Drosophila melanogaster: one gene and its partners. The gene in region 1 interacts genetically with each later gene. Each region holds a gene or a part of one and is shown in the gene's direction. Other genes may lie near its edges.

Region 1 (7,129 bases):
TGCCAAGATCGATGAGGACACGCTGAGTGGTCTGAAGGAGCTGGAGATCGGCAAGCTCAAGCCGCTTCCTAGCAGCAGCAAGAATCCGGTGCTTACCCACCGTCGCACAAAGCTGAACAAGATTCGGACGCCTTCATGCAGCAGCTCGGAGGCCTCAGACGACGACACCAAGACACGCAACAAGAAAAAGATTAACAAATTTGTCGGTGACACGCCAGTGCGGTTTCGCATGCATCGTCGCGACTCGCATGACGACTCCAGCGACTCGCAAGATCAGCTATATCCGCCGCCCGGCTCGGCCAGCAATGCGGGTAATTTTATCTCCAAAAGCGGCTCAGTAAGCGGCAAAAAAGAGGGACAATCGCAGTATAAAGAGGTACGATTATTATTGTATAATTATCAGTGAGACAGCTACTAAACTTATATTCTTTGCTTACAGCCAAATAACAAATCCGATGAAAATCGCAAATCTCACAGCCAAAAAAATCGGAAACAGCACAACAAGGATCATGTTGATAAGCATTCCCACGCTGAGAGGCAGCTGGCGGATAGCAGCACAGCTACAACAGGAAATTCCACGAATAGAAGGCGGCGCATTCGCGAGAGCCAGTCGCTGGACCGCATCACAGAGGCTCAGGAATACGAGATGCGGCATCGATGCTACGCGGAGAGCGAGGCAGCATCCTCGTCGTCCTCGTCCACCCAACATATCGATCAGAGATATTCTTTACTCAGCCTAAACACTAGCACATTCTCCGTTGCCGAAACCAAGGAGGAGTACGACGAGGAGGCAGACGCCACAAATGCCACGGACCAAATCATGAATACTTTGAATGCAGCCAAAGCAACGCTTCAACAAGAGCAATATTTTAATAACAATACCAATCTTAGTAGGAACTTCAATCACAATCACAACCAGAGCATCATCCACATCAGTAGCCAGAAAGCCAACGGCAAGAAGTCCAACGAAACACCAAAAGATATTTATAATCTGAACTCAATCGAGCATATCGACTTGATTTTGGAGGATAAAAGCCTTACCAAAGCAATACACGTTACCGGCTCTAAATGCTTTGTCACCATGAAGAAAATCCGACGGCTGGGAAAATATTTTCCCGTGATGAACTTCTCTTAATAGACACAGTTACTTCTTTGCAAAGTGCATTCTAAATATTAAAAAGAAACTCGGTTAAGCGAACTACATAGAAAATATGCATGTATTAATTAAAACGTATAAACGTCAACGTTATCCCCCGTATATAGGAAAGAGCGCGAGAATATTTAAATTTAGTGGTAGCGTAATTGTTTTGTCTGTCGTCGTCATTACGCTTAAATTATTCTAAATATATTAATTTATGTTAATTATAAGTCTAATCACTCAATGCAATATTTAGTGAAAATACATTAATGCCCATATGACAATTGACTAAAAAGGTTATTTGTTTTCTTTTTAACAAATTGTGACGAATTAAAATGGAATGAAACTCGCAACTCGCACAATCTAAAATTGGCAATTCAAATGTTTGCGCCCAACTACAGTGTGTACACACCACAAATGTTGTAGAGTAGGTAAAGGAAATAAAGCAATAAACATTTAACTACTTAAAGCTCTTAAGATGTAGTTAAGCAATGATGGATGTCACCAAGCAATTTTTTTTTATTGTAAGAAAAATATACAATATACAAAAATATATTCTTTTATTTTACAAAATGATGCGTGTAAAATACATTGTACCTAATGCAGGTACCCCAAACGAGTACAAGCCACCCTTTTCAACTCTGGTCACACAGAGCACATCCCGTAAAGTTTTTCAGAGATGAGTTTGCGGCAGGAAAATTGAATTATTCACGGAAATAAACAAAGTAAACTAAGTGGAAACTGTAATCCTGACCAGCAATTATGTTGCGCATCTATCAAAATACTTACCGGTGAGAGACCACGCCCGAAACGCGAAAGCCTTACGTGCAGATTTTCTGCACGATTTCGTCATCGGCGAATCTCATCATTCAATGTGTTTTGCCCACAGGCGCACCGCGAGAAAAGCTGTTGTCTACTCCACCAAGGTCGCCTGCTGCAATCATTCCACGCTCTGTGGCATCACCAGCCATCCACGTCGGGCGCAGGATAGCGGGAGCTCCAGTTCGAATGGCAGGCACCGTGGCCACGAGGAGTTCCTACTTGCCGGCAATCCGGCGCGGGGCTGGCAAATGCCTCCGCCGTCGCGTGGTTACGGAATGCTGGTGGTGCGCATACTGCGGGGAGCCCTCAAGCTGCGATACATCGTCCTGGGCGGCGCCATCGGCGGGGGCGTGTCGCTGAGCAAAGTGAGTTTCGCAAGTTATATAACTTGTATAGAACTTAGGAGACATGATTTGTTTTCCGCAGAAATACGAGGAATGGAAGGATGGACTGCCGAATTTTAAGTGGCTGGAGGATGCCATGCCGCAGGGCGAACGGTGGAGCCAGTTCTCGCGGAATCTCATTGAGGTGGGCTCGCTGGTGAAGAACGCCATCGAAGTTGGTGAGTGTCCATGTAGACCTACCATCGCCCTTTCAATCTCTCACTTTAAATGGTCATATACCTTGGTCAGATTCGCATTGAACTCTTCGTTTTGATTGATTGATACTGATGTTATTGGGGCGTTTGCTTGTAGATCCAAAGCTCAAGCAGCTGGGCGAGGATAAGTTGTCGGAATGGCGCAACTGGTTTGACAGTCGTCTGGACGATGCCATCGAGGCGGCCGATTATCAAGGAGTTCAGATTGTCGAAAGTAGGTTACACAAATTACACAGACTCCCAACGTTGGGACCATTTAAAGTGAGAGATCCCTATCTACCGCATTCGAGACTTATTCCTAACATCTGTTGCAGCCAAAGATGACTTAAAGGCCAAAACAACGGTGGCCGCTTTAGGCATAACATCCGATGAGAGTCGTAAGAAGTATGGTAGGTTTTTTGCACACCTGCCGAAAGATATACTATATCTAATCCTTCTGTGATTCCGCAGAGAAACTCCAGAGCCAGGTGGAGACGCTGCAGACGGAGATCATGAACGTCCAGATTAAGTACCAAAAGGAGCTGGAGAAGATGGAGAAGGAGAACCGTGAACTACGCCAGCAATACCTCATCCTGAAAACAAACAAAAAGACCACGGCAAAAAAAATCAAAAAATCCCTGATCGACATGTACTCTGAGGTCCTTGATGAGCTATCCGGCTACGATACGGGCTACACCATGGCCGATCACCTACCCCGTGTTGTGGTAGTGGGAGATCAGAGCAGCGGCAAGACCTCTGTCCTGGAATCCATTGCTAAGGCTCGCATCTTTCCCCGTGGCAGTGGAGAGATGATGACGCGAGCCCCAGTCAAAGTTACTCTGGCTGAAGGACCATACCATGTGGCTCAGTTCCGTGACTCTGACCGGGAATACGATCTCACCAAGGAGTCTGATCTGCAGGACCTCCGTCGGGATGTGGAGTTCCGAATGAAGGCGTCGGTGAGAGGTGGTAAAACCGTCAGCAATGAAGTCATTGCCATGACGGTCAAGGGTCCCGGTCTGCAACGCATGGTTCTAGTCGATTTGCCAGGAATAATTTCGGTGAGCAAGTCAATACAAGTAAAACTGCGCACATCTAATGCTAATATCATTTTAGACCATGACTGTCGACATGGCCTCAGACACAAAAGATTCCATTCACCAGATGACCAAGCATTATATGAGCAATCCGAACGCCATCATTCTCTGCATTCAGGATGGATCTGTGGACGCTGAGCGCAGTAATGTGACAGACTTGGTCATGCAGTGCGATCCCTTGGGTCGACGCACTATTTTTGTGCTCACAAAGGTGGATCTGGCCGAGGAGCTCGCCGATCCTGATAGAATAAGGAAAATCCTTTCGGGCAAACTCTTCCCCATGAAGGCTTTGGGCTACTATGCCGTCGTTACCGGTCGTGGACGAAAGGATGACAGCATAGATGCTATTCGGCAGTATGAGGAAGACTTCTTTAAGAACTCCAAGCTTTTCCAGTAAGTATAGAGAGGATGTGATTGGTAAATTCCAAAGTTCACCTCTCTCCATACTTAGTCGTCGAGGGGTTATCATGCCCCATCAGGTGACCAGCCGCAATCTGAGCTTGGCGGTGTCAGATCGTTTCTGGAAGATGGTGAGGGAAACCATTGAGCAGCAGGCGGATGCATTTAAGGCGACTAGATTTAATCTGGAAACCGAATGGAAAAATAACTTCCCCAGGTTTGTAAAAATGTTTTAAAAAATATAAGAGATCTATAACATTTGAGGTATACTCTTTTAGATTGCGCGAGTCTGGTCGAGATGAGCTGTTCGACAAGGCAAAGGGCGAGATACTGGACGAGGTGGTAACGCTCTCGCAAATCTCCGCTAAAAAGTGGGACGACGCTCTGAGCACCAAGCTATGGGAAAAGCTCTCCAATTATGTGTTTGAAAGCATCTATCTGCCCGCTGCACAGTCAGGTTCTCAAAGTAATATTTTGTAGTACTAAGTGTAGGTTGTAAGCAGATTTCGCCGACGTCATCGATGGGGGCACGTCCATCCAATCGCCCGCCTTGTGTGCTCCGTCATTGTGTGTGTTTCTTGCAAGAAGATATGGCTTGGCCTCGAACCTCACGTGTCTCTGCAAAACGTTGTGTCGTTTAAATGTTTTGTTTAATTTTGTATTTATCATGGCCCGCATTCAGCGTCGAATTCCCGTGCAAGGGAATCACATGCGTTAAATAATTTCAAACCGGTTTGACTGATATTCCTGCAACATTTCTTGAATCACAAGTGTAAATTTAATGTGTACTCCCCGGCGGACGATTTCGAATCCCATTAACACCGTTTGCCTTTGCCCCAAAATAGTGACCCGGGATTGTCACAGGTTCTGCGTTGCGATCATGTGCCGGAAAGTCGCTTATAACGAAGATTTACGAGCACCTGTACCGAAACCAGATTTTGGTTTATGTTCACATTATAAAAACGTATGCGATATTAGCGATTTATGACCGAAAAACCCGTTTAAGCCATCGCTCAGCTTGTGTTTATTTAGCATTTTATGACAGACCTGTTAATTTGCTCAATGAATTCATCCAAATCAATGTCTAATTGAATTAAATTGCAGTTATCGAGTTAGGAATCTGAATGTTTCGTCGCTTTGTTTATCATTCCCCCCGTAGTTGTGTGTCTAGTTAATTTGGCTCAACTAATTTCATACGATTACTATGCTCTTTATAGATTCCTTCAACACGATGGTAGACATCAAGTTGCGCCAGTGGGCCGAGCAGGCACTGCCCGCTAAGTCGGTGGAAGCTGGCTGGGAAGCGTTGCAGCAGGAATTCATATCGCTGATGGAGCGTTCGAAGAAGGCGCAGGATCACGACGGCATCTTCGATCAGTTGAAGTCTGCGGTGGTGGATGAGGCTATACGTCGGCACAGCTGGGAGGACAAGGCCATCGACATGCTTCGCGTTATCCAGCTGAATACGCTGGAGGATCGGTTCGTGCACGACAAGCAGGAGTGGGATTCGGCGGTTAAGTTCCTGGAGAGTTCGGTGAATGCCAAGCTCGTGCAGACGGAGGAGACTTTAGCACAAATGTTTGGTCCCGGCCAAATGCGACGAATTACCCACTGGCAGTACCTGACGCAGGATCAGCAGAAGAGGCGAAGCGTTAAGAACGAACTCGACAAAATACTCAAAAACGATACGGTATGGGTAGTATACATTATATAGTTAGTTATTCCTCATTTACACGCATTACATTATGTTGGTAGAAACATTTGCCCACCCTGACCCATGATGAACTGACTACGGTTCGCAAGAACCTTCAGCGTGATAACGTGGATGTGGACACGGACTACATAAGGCAAACGTGGTTCCCGGTCTACAGAAAGTAAGTTGTAATGCTAAACCATTTAGACTGCTTATCAGTTAGCACATATGTCTCTTTTTTCAGACACTTTCTGCAGCAGGCGTTACAGAGGGCAAAGGATTGCCGCAAAGCATATTACCTCTACACGCAGCAGGGAGCCGAGTGTGAGGTAAGTGTTAAGGTTTTCCCTCTTATCTGAACCAATTTACTTAACTTATTGCTTTCTCAGATATCCTGCAGCGACGTCGTGCTCTTCTGGCGCATCCAGCAGGTGATCAAGATAACAGGCAACGCACTGAGACAGCAAGTAATCAATCGGGAGGCGCGGCGGCTGGACAAGGAGATCAAAGCGGTGCTGGACGAGTTCAGCGATGACGAGGAGAAGAAGGGTTACCTGCTCACCGGCAAGCGCGTGCTACTAGCCGAGGAGCTAAGTGAGTGCTTTGCTTAATTGAATTTGGCGCCAATTTAATTGCTTTCAATTCAACAGTCAAAGTGCGGCAGATCCAAGAGAAGCTGGAGGAGTTCATCAATTCACTTAATCAGGAAAAGTAGTGTGCCATGACCAAAGACACAACACCCGAGGCGTTACTTATTTAACTTGATAGTTTAAGACCACATTTGAAATGTTTGTTCATAGTCACGCTTGAGCCCCTTAGTTAAGCATACTTTGTGCTCCGAAAGTAATAAACAAATAGATCGTTAGTTCGTATTATTGAAATCGTCTTTATTGTTTATGAAGTGTAACCTTATGTCGCATGCAATGCAATGTAAACTCATTAATTTAAATGTAATATAAATCATTCATTCTGTTTTAATGTAATTGTAGTTGATAAACGTTAACGCGAAACGCACTCATCGTGCTGAGTATGTAGCGGTCCGTGTGTGTTTCTGAATCTGTATCGTGTAATATATATATATACATATATATTTAAATCGGTTTGCATAAGAGCACAGCACTTTTACCAGATGCCTCATCGTGCGGTTGATTGTTTGTTTCGTTTTGTCCACGATCGGCTAATCCCGCGATGCGCCGGCATCTGTATCGGTATCGAGATCGGTGGTGGGTGCATTAACCCCGACCGATCGTCTGGCCGCGTCTCTAATTGATTGATTGTTTGATTGATAAACGTATATCTAGCTAACTATGTATGTAGCTAGCTATGTAACATAACAAGTCCGTGATTGCGGTGCAGTACCATATCTCTTACAAGGTAAACAAATGCTCGTTCCCTATCATGTT
Region 2 (7,410 bases), on another chromosome or scaffold:
TCTCCAGCTCTTCGAGGCGAGTGCGAACGAGATTGGCTTTCTCCTGAAGATCTTTGGTTATGGGTTCGTCTGACTCCTTGCTGGGACTTGACTTCTTCTTCTGTTCCAATGCCTGGAAGAGGGCGGACTTGAACTGTTCAAAGAGCTGAATATTGGAGCCGTCGTTGAGGCTGGTGGCATCGGAGTACTCGTGCGTGTCATTGGAGTCGGAGAAACGCACTCGCACTTTAGTATTCCCCACCTGGATGGGTGTCATTGTGAGGGTCTGATCGCTGGACGGTTCGGTGTCCTCCTCGTCCCCCTCCTGCAGTTCCTGCACCAGCATCTGGTCCACCTGTGGCTGCAATCGCATCTGACGCACCTGCTGTGTGACTACAATGTGATCGGAGTCATCAGCTACTCGGCGACGCTGATCTTTGCGCGCCATAAAGGTTCGAATGCAGCTGGAGTTCATATCAATGTTTCCCTCAGTGGCCTTCTGCTCGAGCAGCTCGAATATGCTTACATTGCTGTCATCTTCCACTCGGATTTGAGCAGAGCGTCTTTGGATTTGCGCTGGCTTTATACTCTGTGTGTCCAGCACCTTGGCCCAGCAAACTCCTGTCATGGGACTAGCTTCCGAGGAGGCTTCATCATCGGCATGAGTGGTTTGTCCCGCCCTGCTCTTCTGCTCTACAAAACGAACTCTGGGCGAGGTGCTCGAGGCGGTTGTGGAGGACGCATAGGAAGACTTTAGATCTGGAGTGGAACTGCAGGCGTTCTTGCCGATAAGCATCTGCTGAAAGCGCTGCTCGTTGAGATCGTCGAGCTGTGCTGAGGGTTTGGGAGCTGGTGGAGGCGCAGGATTGGGAGGTGACTTGACTTGCTTCTTGAGAATACCCTTTTTCATTTGAGGCGTGCGGAACTGAGGGTGGGCATTAGCGAACTTGTATCGCGGCAGGTTTTCCAGGCGCAGCTGGTCGGGATTGATCTTGAACCGCTGCTTTAGACCTTCGCCGCGACGCAGAAAAGGGCGTTTAGGCTTGGCCGGCTGGGGATCAGCCATTGAAATCTCTGGCTCGTGCTCGTCCGGATCCGCCGCGAGTCGCGGCATTTGTATAGAGTGCTCCTCGTCCCACTCCTCCAGCACACTGTTTTCATGGCTTTCCGTTTCCTGGTGTAGCAGTCCCAGCATTTTGTACATATTACGTTGCTCCAAGCCGAGCAAAACGCGGTGATTGGACTGCCGCTCCTGCAGCAGCCGCTTCTGCTCGTCCTGCCAACGACTAAGCGCCGCGAGACGCTGTGCGATGGCCTCCTGGCTCAGAGGCATTCCAACAGGACTTTCGCCAGCCTCCTGCATGCTTTTATATTCGTTCTTAGAATCGCAGTTTTGTTTAGACGCCGTACGCGTAGGGGAATTTAAAATTACGGCAGCAGTTGTCCAACACTGTACCAGTGGCAACTCTGCGGTCAGGGATGGTGCTAGACATGCATTTTGATTAGATTTAATTTTTTATTAAAAATAAAATATTGTACATTTTCTTAAGCAATATGAAAAATTGATTTTTTTCAATCCTGATCCCCTTCCTCCGGTTCATCAAAGTCCTTAACGTTCACGTCTGCATCCTCGCCGTACTGCAAGATACTGTCAATTTGTAGCAGAAGATCGCCCACGCTCTCCTCGTCCTGGGAATCCAACGGGAAAAATCTCACCAAACTGTAAGTGAATAATAAACATCAATATTTACAATTTTTGAACGTCACAAAAATAACCGATTTTGATAAGTGGCAACGCCACCGCATAGCTCGCAGCCCTCGTATCCCACACAAAAGCATTTTTCGACGCGTCGCAAAAGAAAATGTGCTTGTGCAATTAAAATCGAGTGATAAAAACCAAATATAAACCCTTTTAGTGCATCAAACTGCAATAAATCAGTGCGTTTGGGTAAATGGCCGGCGTTTGCAAAAAGGCGCGCAAATAGTGAGCTGACGAAATACCACCAAAAATCCCAACCAACAAATCCCAGGCAGCCAGCCACTAAAAAAATCGCCTAATTTACGATACAAAACACTTTTCGAGGGCAAATCGAAAAACGCTGAATTCCGGGCTCGGGCCAAACAGCGCACCAATTCAAAAATGGAGACGCCCGTCGAGGAGCACGGCATGGACCTGACCAAGGTGTCCGTGGTGCGCTCCGCCAAGGGCGTGGATATGCTCTGCGTGGACGACTATCTGTACCACTTCGATCGCATCGGGCGGAATAACACCTACCGATGGCTGTGCAACAGGCGCAAGGACAAGTCCACTCCCTGCAAGTCCCGCATCTGCACCATGCTGCCCGATCCGCTGGACAAGACGCGCCACGTCGTCGTGGACGTCGTTCTGGCCCACATCCACCCGCGCTGCAGCGATCACGAGGTCAACAAGGTGGCCCAGCGCAAGCGGCTCTCCGTAATGATGATGAACGACGCTTACAGCACCACCCAGCCGAAGAGAGCACGCCTGTACGAGCGCGCCAACGCCGGCATGAATCCGCCGGAGTTCATCTACGGAAGCATCGACACCTCCACCGTGGAGGCCTCGTTCCAGTTGGACTTTGAGGTACGGCCCCAGGCCAACTGTACCTGGCTCATGCCCCTGAATACTCAACTCAACCATTTATTTAGAATCTAGCTGGGTCTCTTTTTCAGAAAGAACATTGATATTAATATTGATTCATATTTCGGTAACCACCGCTACTTTGAACATTTGATAATGTAAAAAAAAGGTTAATTTGCTCACCTTAGTAATGAGATGGTTTCCCGCCAATTTGTTTTTTATATTTATTTTCCTATTTGCAAATCCACCGGCTAGGCCGTTAAAAGGACAATAAATACCAAAGCTTAATCATTTATGATTCAAAAAATACTATATATCTCCAAACGAAACTAAATATTAGGGATTTTTGAAAAAAATGGGACCCAATCATTTTATAACATGCACCCTACTGAAGGGAATATCCAAGGGAATGAAATACTTTTGAACTTACACTTAACTTAATTTTACACCTAAATAGATTTCCCATGATGTACCATTTTTAATTCATATACAATTTTACAGCACAAAAATGACTAACACGAACTCTAATTCCGCAGGACAAGGATCGTGTGTACATGCTACGGCGCCGCGACGGCCGCGTGATGGTCTGCATCGACGGGCATCTGTACTACCTGGCCGGGAAATCCTACAAGGGCGACATATTCCGATGGACCTGTGTGCGCAAGCGTGACATTGAGTGCACGGCCAGGATCTGCACGGAGGCGACTTTGGCGGGGGCACATCGCCTGCATGCCGTCGACACGGATGCGCACATTCATCCGCACTACTCGGCCGCCAAGCTGATGCACATGTTTTCGAAGCACCAAATCGTGTTGGTGGAGGACGAAAATACCTCTGATGTGCTGGCAGAGTGCCCCAATCTTGAGTACTTCGATCCGGAAAACACTTTCGACACAGCTCAGCGGGGCGATGACTTGGAATCCATAATAATCGAGGAGTGCGAGGATAACTACGATATATACATGAGAACGGACGGAAGCCAAGGTGGAGGGATTCAAGGCAGCGAAGAGCTCGAGAGCCAGGAAGGGGATGACGAGTCTTCGCTGGTGGACCCGAAAATGCATCACAGCTCCAAGTGGCCAGCGGCATTCGACGTAATTGCCAACTATCTGCCGCCGCCGAGCCACAATCCACTCACGGAAACCGACTTGACCAAGTTCACATTTCTACCATCGGCCAAGGGTCGAAAGGTGCTGTGCTTGAGTCAGCATCTGTTCCACTTCGACTCGCAAAGCAGGTCAAACGGCCACATGTTCTTCACATGCATAAACCGACGCGACAAGGCCAACACTTGTCACGTCCGCATTACCCTAGACCCGGTTGAAAACGGACCAGTAGTGCTTCGAATCAATGGGGAGCACACGCACAATCCGGATATAAAAGAAATTGCTCGCCGGCTAAAGCAGCAGGCCAAGCTGGATCAGGACAATGTGCACAAGCTGCAAAAGATCGAGCACTCTGAAGAGATCAGTTTCGAAAGCGATGAGGGATCGGCCAGCCAGGGAGGCGATACCTTCGAGGCGGAGAACAGCGTCGACGAAAGCTACGGACACATTGACACGCGTAATGTGGTTATGAAGAAGGTGATTAGCATCGATGGCGCCATCAAAATGGAACCAGAATCGAAAGCGAACATGATAGTGCAGTACCTTAAGGACGGAGCGAACAACATAAGCGCCAAGATCGAGATACTGCCCGACGCACTAGATGAGCTCGACCCACATTCACACACTGCTTATTCATCCACACCTTTGCCGAAAGTTCGACAGCCGCAGATCACGAATATTCGTAGGCGACGCGATGTAGCAGAGCCAGCAAAGGGCGCCCAGCCGGACATGGACCTCTCAAAGATTTGTACCCTGAGATCTGCCAAGGGGCACGAACTGCTGTGCGTCGATGGCTATATATACCATGCCAAGAACCGTGGCGTCATCTCGCGCAACTATTGGGTGTGCATCAAAAGCCGCGATCCGGACATCAATTGCAAGAGCCGCATCTCGACGGCCACCCAAAAGGATGGCTCTATTCGTGTGCTCCGTGTTTACAACAGTCATAGCCATCCTTTCAGCGAGGACGACATCAAGCGGAGACTCTACAACGAGATCAACAAGAAGAACAACAAGAACCTAAAGTTTCGGCCGCTGCACTTTATCGGCAAATCGTTGGATCAGATTCAGCAGGAGTATGGTGATTTGGCCATCGAGCGCCTGAATGTGTCTAATATCAGCAGCGACATTGTGGTTCACAAGAAGCCTCGAGTTAGCGGCAGTAATAATAGCAGATCTGCATCATTATCCGTGTCCCACAGAGCGGACTCTCACCATGAGGAAGATGATGTTGTTATCGTGGAGGAAGAGTACCAGGAGCAAGAGGAAGGCGTCGAAATGACCATGGAGGGCGATCAACAATACATGGATGTGGACAACACAGATGGGATCATTGAGGTTGTCGAGGAAGTAGCCGATGAAATGGAAAGCTACGGCTCTATTGTGTATGTATACCATCCCGAAAGAAAGAAAACATAACAATCTTTTTAAAAAACGTACTTGCATGAATAAAAACAAGAACACTAACAATGAGATAGAACTTTTGGCACACTTACAACACCTACCCTTATTCGAAACAAATATTCATAGCCTCGATTCATTATAAAGAATTCGTGACTGTTAAGGGTCGACAAATTAGGCAGAGTATTTGCGAACCTATGTTAGCATAATGCCTTTCAAACGCAAAACAAGTTTGGATTGTCATTGAAATGAACACCTGCAATATCTGGCAAGTTAATTCAGCACATCAGTATGGTTTGAAAGCTGCTCGAACGTACAACATTAATTTTGGGTTTGTTATTATTCAGTATTTAAAAATATTTCTTAAAAAGCCCAGAAATTCTTTGACAGAATTTTTGCGATAGAATACACACTGAATACAGACAGCATCAGCAATAATTAAACCAAATATATATATAGATATATAGAAAATAGACAGTAGAGGCAAATTGCTTTCACTTTTAAGCTACAAGCAAACCGGTCGAACAAGAGACAAATACACAAAACTAACGATCGCTGTGTACCCACAGACCCATCTACACAATGAAACTCTACGCCGTATCCGATGGTCCGCCTTCCCTGGCCGTTCGCATGACCCTGAAGGCCTTGGATATACAATATCAACTCATCAATGTGGACTTTTGCGCCATGGAACATCGCTCTGAGGAGTACTCGAAGGTATGTGCATATGGAGTCATGAATTTGATTTTCAAGTCATTAAAAATTCAAATCATTGCAGATGAATCCGCAAAAGGAGATACCCGTGCTGGACGACGACGGTTTCTATCTATCGGAGAGCATTGCCATTATGCAATACCTCTGCGACAAGTACGCGCCGGATTCAACGCTATATCCGCAGGACGTCAATGTGAGAGCAGTAATCAATCAGCGGCTATGCTTTAACATGGGATTCTACTATGCCCCCATATCCGCCCACAGCATGGCGCCCATTTTCTTCGACTACAAACGTACGCCCATGTCGCTAAAGAAGGTGCAGAACGCACTTGATGTGTTCGAAACCTATTTGCAGCGACTGGGCACTAAGTACGCGGCAGGCGAGAACATAACCATTGCAGACTTCGCTCTCATTTCGGCCACGATCTGCTTGGAGGCAATTAACTTTGACTTGCACCAGTTTACGTTGGTGAACAAGTGGTACGAAACCTTCAAGGTGGAATACCCGCAGCTGTGGGAGATCGCCAACAGCGGCATGCAGGAGATAAGTGCGTTTGAGCAGAACCCACCGGATATGTCACACATGGAACACCCATTCCATCCGACGCGCAAGTCTATGGGCCTGAAGTTGTAGATTGTAGTTTTAGAACTTAAGACCCTGCCAGCAAGGGAAGTGAAAAACGTTCTCCTTTTAATTCTTGTGAAATATTCGATATATATATATATATTGATATAATAATAATAACATAATTATATAATAATATATAATTATAGGTTGTTTTGCCTTCCAAATTGACATGAACAAAGAAGTTCAGAAGTCTAAGAAAAAATAGTATTAAAATGTGCCCACAAAATTTTATGCGATTGAAATTGCAAGTCGAACTGGAGGTCAAGCTTAAATTTTTTCAACAAAATACATATTTCCATTATTTTTGTCTTATTAGAAAATATTATCATTTCTTGCTAACAATTTGAAGTTATTTTATGGCAAGAATCCCTTTAAATCAACCTTGGTTATTATAAGGACTAATCAACCTGTGTTTATCATTTAAAATAAAACATTTCGATAAAACCAAAAATGTGTTTCCTTTGATATGATTGTATTAAAAAATCTTCTGATAAAAAACCTACCGATGTTAATAAAATCATAATGTTGGTGATTAAATCGAACTAACTAAAACGAAAATATTAACAACCATAGTCGACTTTTTCGTGTATTTTCTGCGGCTAATCGCTTACAATAGTCTCTCTTCAAATGTAATTAACTTTTGGATTTTTTGGACTGTAATTTTTGTAAAATGCTCAGTAAAACTCCACTCCGCTACCACCGATTTAAGTATCAATTAATTATAATTGATTAGCTCACCTGAAATCCTCAATTAGCGCGCCAATAGCCTGCGTAAGCTTTGCGTATTTCTCGCCAAAACCAGTCCCGATGGTCAGCTCGCCCATCAGACTGTGGGCATCCGGTTCCAGGTACATCTCCAGCTGTTTCCGCGCATCGCTGCTCAGCAGATCCACTTTGGTCAGCACATTGATGTGCGGCTGCTCCATGTTGGCCATCACACTGAGCGCGGCCATGGTGCCGGAAATGAACTTGGCCCCGTC
Region 3 (4,519 bases), about 10 Mb from region 1:
TCATCGATGGTAGCAATGTCGCCTTTGCGTAAGTTCTCTGCTTAAAGCTAACTCTAGACGGACTATTTATTTCATTTTCATTTGACAGTCATGGCAACTCAAACGTGTTTTCATCAGAGGGAATAAAGTATTGCTTGCAGTATTTTGAGAAAATGGGTCACGAAGTTAAGGCTGTGGTTCCAATGTTCCGGAAAAACAACTTCAAGTCTTCGAATCCCGAGCTTCTCGATAAGCTGCACAAGGAAGGGAAGATTGTGTTTACGCCGTGCAAAAACATTCCCGGTCAAATTACGTCTAGCTACGATGATCGGTGAGCTCCTTAGAAAAAACTTCTATTTAGAAATGGAAATGCATAATTTTTTTTTTCAGTTTCATTTTGCAGCTGGCATACGAAAAGAATGCCGCCGTGGTTTCCAACGACAACTACAGAGACCTGATTAATGAAAATCCTGCATTTAAATTGATCGTTGAGAATCGAGTTCTTGGTTACTCCTGGTGCGACAACATATTCATTTTACCCAAGGATCCTTACGGCCGCTGGGGACCTACCCTCGACGAAATTTTGAGGTGCTAATGCACCTAGCCATATATTTGTTTTCAAATTATTCTTTAGTTTCGTGTTATATCTTAAGTTAGTAGTTTTCATTTAGTTTGGTTGCGAATTATTCAACTTTCTTTTCCTTTACAATTAGCGTTAAGTTGGTCAATACTGAAGAGTTAATACGCAGCGTTTACTCATTTTATTAGCATATAGCATATAGTTTTCGACCAGAAGGGTTTTCATATGCCTACTATTTTAAAAATCTTGCAAAATTACGAAGTTCATTATTTACATATAATTTTCGACCAGAAAAATTTTTTAATATGCACTATACGTTTATTTATTTATTTACTCCAATGGGGTTTATAAGTTATGCAAAATTAAAGAGTTGCCGAGGAGCAAGATTTATTTACAAAGGCAAAGCTGTACAGTGTCTTGTTTAGTGTATAAATAATAATAGATTTACTATTTCTCAGAAGTCCAATGCTTTGTTACACCACTGGTGGTTGGCCGTTGACCAAAAATACGGTGGTGGTGGTGGAAGTGGTGGTTGTGGCCACGTTCGCCTCGTAAACCGGCGGTGGTTCGTTAATTCCAACCGCCAAATTGGGATTGCTCGCTTCCAAGCTGGTGGCTATGGTCAGTGTGCTGTCCTGCTTTCGCTCGCTAAAAGCGGCCTCGTCGTAGCTGGGCGGCAAATCCAAGGTCTTGGGCAGGACACTAACTTCGTTCTGGCTGTTTGAGCACACGTTTCCGACTCCTCCGGAGCCGCCGTTGCAATTGTTCGTCACATTGATCTCCATTTGGCGACGGGCTGCGAAAAAAGAGATTTAAATCGTAGTGGACAAGGAAACCTCAGAGAATCTCTTTAAAAACGGAAGTTAGCAACTATATCTTTTAAATATACGTCTAAATCGCTGCGTTCTGTTAACCGATACCTGCTAATATTGGTATTCCTTTATATATAGCGTAACATGTTCTGTTAACCGTTAAATGTTACCCGCTTTTAAAGCAGAAAAAGCAACCAGCCTTCCACAGGGGGGTCGGGTCTCACTAATGACTTTCAACATACTGTTCGAGTCGTTCTTTATTTTAAACGACATTTATAATAACGTTTTTCATGCTGATTAAAAAGCCGTTATATTATGGTAAGAGCACTCAACCCCCTTATGCCAAAACAACTACGCCCTTGAGCTCTGCTATTGGGTCAGCTGCTCTGACGCCAGGCCAACAGCTGATTGCGCCAACTAAGGCCACCACAGAAGTGGAAGCGCATCAATTTAATCACAGACTTTGGAATTTCAACACCTACGCGCCGTTGAACTCCGGCGCTATCTGTAGTGCACCATATCGAGTAAGTGAAACTATTGGCAGTCATTCCGAGCGAGCCGCGACTCACCTTCAGTCAGTTGTGTTTACATAATGGCGCAGACGAAATTACTGAGGTGAAAGTTTAGCTACATGTGAGCGCTGGAAAATGTAAATGGGAAAAATGTAAATGAAAATGCTGGCGGAGATGCAACAGGTTAAGTGGGCTGTATTCGCCAAAAATCAGTTAGCGGAGGGCAAAGTTCAAAGTGCCTCAGTGCCTTGGTTCCGCGTAAAACTACGCGCTTAATTTAGGTGAAAGCCCAAAGGTTAATCGGCATTGACACCTGTTGTTTTTGCACACCGGACTAAACGCTCTTCATTTTGCAGCCGGAGGAATGCTGTTGCGTCGCGTTCTGGGCTACGGAGTAGTCGGCGCCGGACTGGCCTCCGCCGGCTGGAGCCTGCACACCAACGACTACGATCCCAACTCACTCGGAATCGTCCGGCTGTCGCGATCCGCCGCCGCCGTCGTGGACGTGGCACTCACCTACAAGCGGGAACTTTACTACAAGGAATGGGATAAGGAGACGCCCGAGTACAAGGCGGAAAAGAGCCGGGTCCACAAGATAGCCGCCGAGAAGCTACTTCAGCTGATCTGCATAAACAAGGGTGTCTACATCAAGGTGGGCCAGCACATAGGGGCCTTGGAGTACCTGCTACCCAAGGAGTTTGTGCAGACCATGAAGGTACTTCACTCCGATGCGCCGCAAAACCCCATTGAGGACCTGTATAAGGTAATCCGACAGGATCTGCACTGCAATCCGGAAGAAATCTTCGACAGCTTCGAGAGGGAGCCGCTGGGAACTGCTTCCCTTGCCCAGGTACATAAGGCGCGCCTCAAGACCGGCGAGCTGGTGGCCGTGAAGGTGCAACATCCCTACGTTAAGGGTAACTCCCGCGTTGACATGAAGACCATGGAACTGGCCGTTAATGTGCTGGCTCGGATATTTCCCGACTTCAAGATCCACTGGCTGGTTGAGGAGTCTAAAAAGAACTTGCCAATCGAACTCGATTTCCTAAACGAGGGACGTAACGCCGAGAAAGTAGCCAAGCAGTTCAAGAAGTACTCGTGGCTTCGGGTGCCCAAGATATACTGGAAATATAGCTCTTCTCGAGTCCTAGTCATGGAGTACCTGGAGGGTGGGCATGTCACGGACTTGGACTACATACGGCGAAACAAAATTGACTCATTTGCGGTGGCCAATCGCATTGGGCAGCTCTACTCCGAGATGATCTTCCGCACCGGTTTCGTGCACAGCGATCCGCATCCAGGAAACATCTTGGTAAGACGCACGCCGGAAAACAGTCTGGAGATAGTTCTGCTGGATCACGGGCTGTATGCAAATCTGACGGACAAGTTTCGGTACGATTATTCCAATCTCTGGCTGAGTATCCTTAAGGTGGACCGCAAAGCGATGCGACAACACAGTGAGCAGCTGGGAATTAAGGTATTTTCGCTTGGGAGGTGGATTTGAACCTAAACCTTCTAACCTTCTAAACCTTCAATCCAGGGCGATCTGTACGGTCTTTTCGCATGCATGGTGACGGGACGACCTTGGGAGACGGTGATGCAGGGCCTGACCAAAGTCAAATATTCCAAAGAAGAGGTAAGTTCGTGCCGGAAATTCTTCTCTTCAATTACTCGTAGTATATGCTTTGATTCTGCAGAAGAACACGCTGCAAAACAACACGTCCCTGGTGCTGCCGCACATTTCCGACGTATTGGAGCAGGTGGACCGTCAGATGCTGCTCATTCTGAAGACAAATGACTTGATCCGCGGAATTGAGTCCACGCTGCGCACGCAGAACCGGATGACCGCCTTCTGGGTTATGTCCAAGTGCTGTGTTCAATCTTCGTACGCTGAACAGCGAGCCAAGCAGTCTGATTCCGGATCCTCGCGAATCCTGTGGCTGCGGGTGCGCGAGCGATGGGAGCTTTTCAAGCTCAACTGCTACTACCTCTACCTGGGACTGATTAATTTTGGTTTCCTTGAAGCTCTCAAGCAGGTTATTTAGACTAAACGGTGTCCCCCAATTAAAAGTACAAAACTCTTCACGAGGAAAGGGAAATTACCTCGTTGTCTCTGCTGGGCCAGATTCCGCACATTGGTCTCTCGCTTGCGTTTGGCGCTCTTCGGGGAGAGAGTGAATCATTAGCAGGAGCAGGTAGTGTCCCATTCCGAATGGGCTTACCATAATCATGGCCAGAGGAAAGGCGATGACGAAGAGGAAGACCAGCACAATGTAAATGACATAGCTGGGATAAAATAACATGTATGGACCATCGTAGCCGCCACCGTTGATCCAAATTGTGACGGAAGTGGTGTTAACGTATTCCCAATCCGATGTCGTACTTTCAGTGGTGTTAAGTGTTCCGTTGGCCACCGTGGTGGAGTCAAAAGGGGTGCTGACCGTCGCGTTTATGGCAGGGGCCATGTTGAACTCGGGTGTTAATTCCTGATTGGAACTGAAAAATGTCTCGAAGACAGCAGTTCTCTGACGAACAGACAGAGCCGACTAACCTGAACTACTGGCCACCGAATTGATAGGACATCCGGGCATGGGTCAGACTCGGGGCTGACAGCGAAGAACGCACATATTTGCTTT

The links. Genes that interact genetically often act in the same process or in processes that back each other up.
Region 2: of Opa1 (region 1) and gfzf, changing one suppresses a phenotype caused by changing the other (phenotypic suppression), as found in Drosophila melanogaster (one study listed by BioGRID).
Region 3: of Opa1 (region 1) and Adck1, changing one suppresses a phenotype caused by changing the other (phenotypic suppression), as found in Drosophila melanogaster (one study listed by BioGRID).

The regions. Positions count from the first base shown.
Region 1 is NT_033778.4:14,230,086-14,237,214, reverse strand, and holds Opa1 (optic atrophy 1), read left to right. Parts: upstream 1-1,765; 5' UTR 1,766-1,900; coding exon 1,901-1,929; intron 1,930-2,027; coding exon 2,028-2,325; intron 2,326-2,386; coding exon 2,387-2,522; intron 2,523-2,655; coding exon 2,656-2,772; intron 2,773-2,872; coding exon 2,873-2,947; intron 2,948-3,008; coding exon 3,009-3,598; intron 3,599-3,653; coding exon 3,654-4,027; exon of another isoform or gene 4,028-4,085; coding exon 4,086-4,250; intron 4,251-4,311; coding exon 4,312-4,499; coding exon of another isoform or gene 4,500-4,513; exon of another isoform or gene 4,514-5,250; coding exon 5,251-5,723; intron 5,724-5,788; coding exon 5,789-5,907; intron 5,908-5,970; coding exon 5,971-6,055; intron 6,056-6,115; coding exon 6,116-6,320; intron 6,321-6,376; coding exon 6,377-6,441; 3' UTR 6,442-6,604; downstream 6,605-7,129. Other genes in the region: Snrk (SNF related kinase), read left to right, coding at 1-376, 440-1,135.
Region 2 is NT_033777.3:7,145,340-7,152,749, reverse strand, and holds gfzf (GST-containing FLYWCH zinc-finger protein), read left to right. Parts: upstream 1-1,781; 5' UTR 1,782-2,119; coding exon 2,120-2,584; intron 2,585-3,117; coding exon 3,118-5,072; intron 5,073-5,371; exon of another isoform or gene 5,372-5,419; intron 5,420-5,657; coding exon 5,658-5,805; intron 5,806-5,866; coding exon 5,867-6,436; 3' UTR 6,437-6,870; downstream 6,871-7,410. Other genes in the region: Sas-4 (spindle assembly abnormal 4), read right to left, coding at 1-1,342; CG2656 (uncharacterized protein), read right to left, coding at 1,552-1,699, 7,169-7,410.
Region 3 is NT_033778.4:24,609,928-24,614,446, forward strand, and holds Adck1 (aarF domain containing kinase 1), read left to right. Parts: upstream 1-1,775; 5' UTR 1,776-1,895; exon of another isoform or gene 1,896-1,917; intron 1,918-1,954; exon of another isoform or gene 1,955-2,239; 5' UTR 2,240-2,247; coding exon 2,248-3,360; intron 3,361-3,423; coding exon 3,424-3,519; intron 3,520-3,580; coding exon 3,581-3,928; 3' UTR 3,929-3,979; downstream 3,980-4,519. Other genes in the region: CG42360 (uncharacterized protein), read left to right, coding at 1-28, 89-310, 370-574; CG4741 (uncharacterized protein), read right to left, coding at 1,033-1,355, 3,987-4,044, 4,106-4,348. UniProt on the Drosophila melanogaster protein: Essential for maintaining mitochondrial cristae formation and mitochondrial function by acting via YME1L to regulate the mitochondrial structural proteins Opa1 and Mitofilin. This function is likely to be kinase-independent.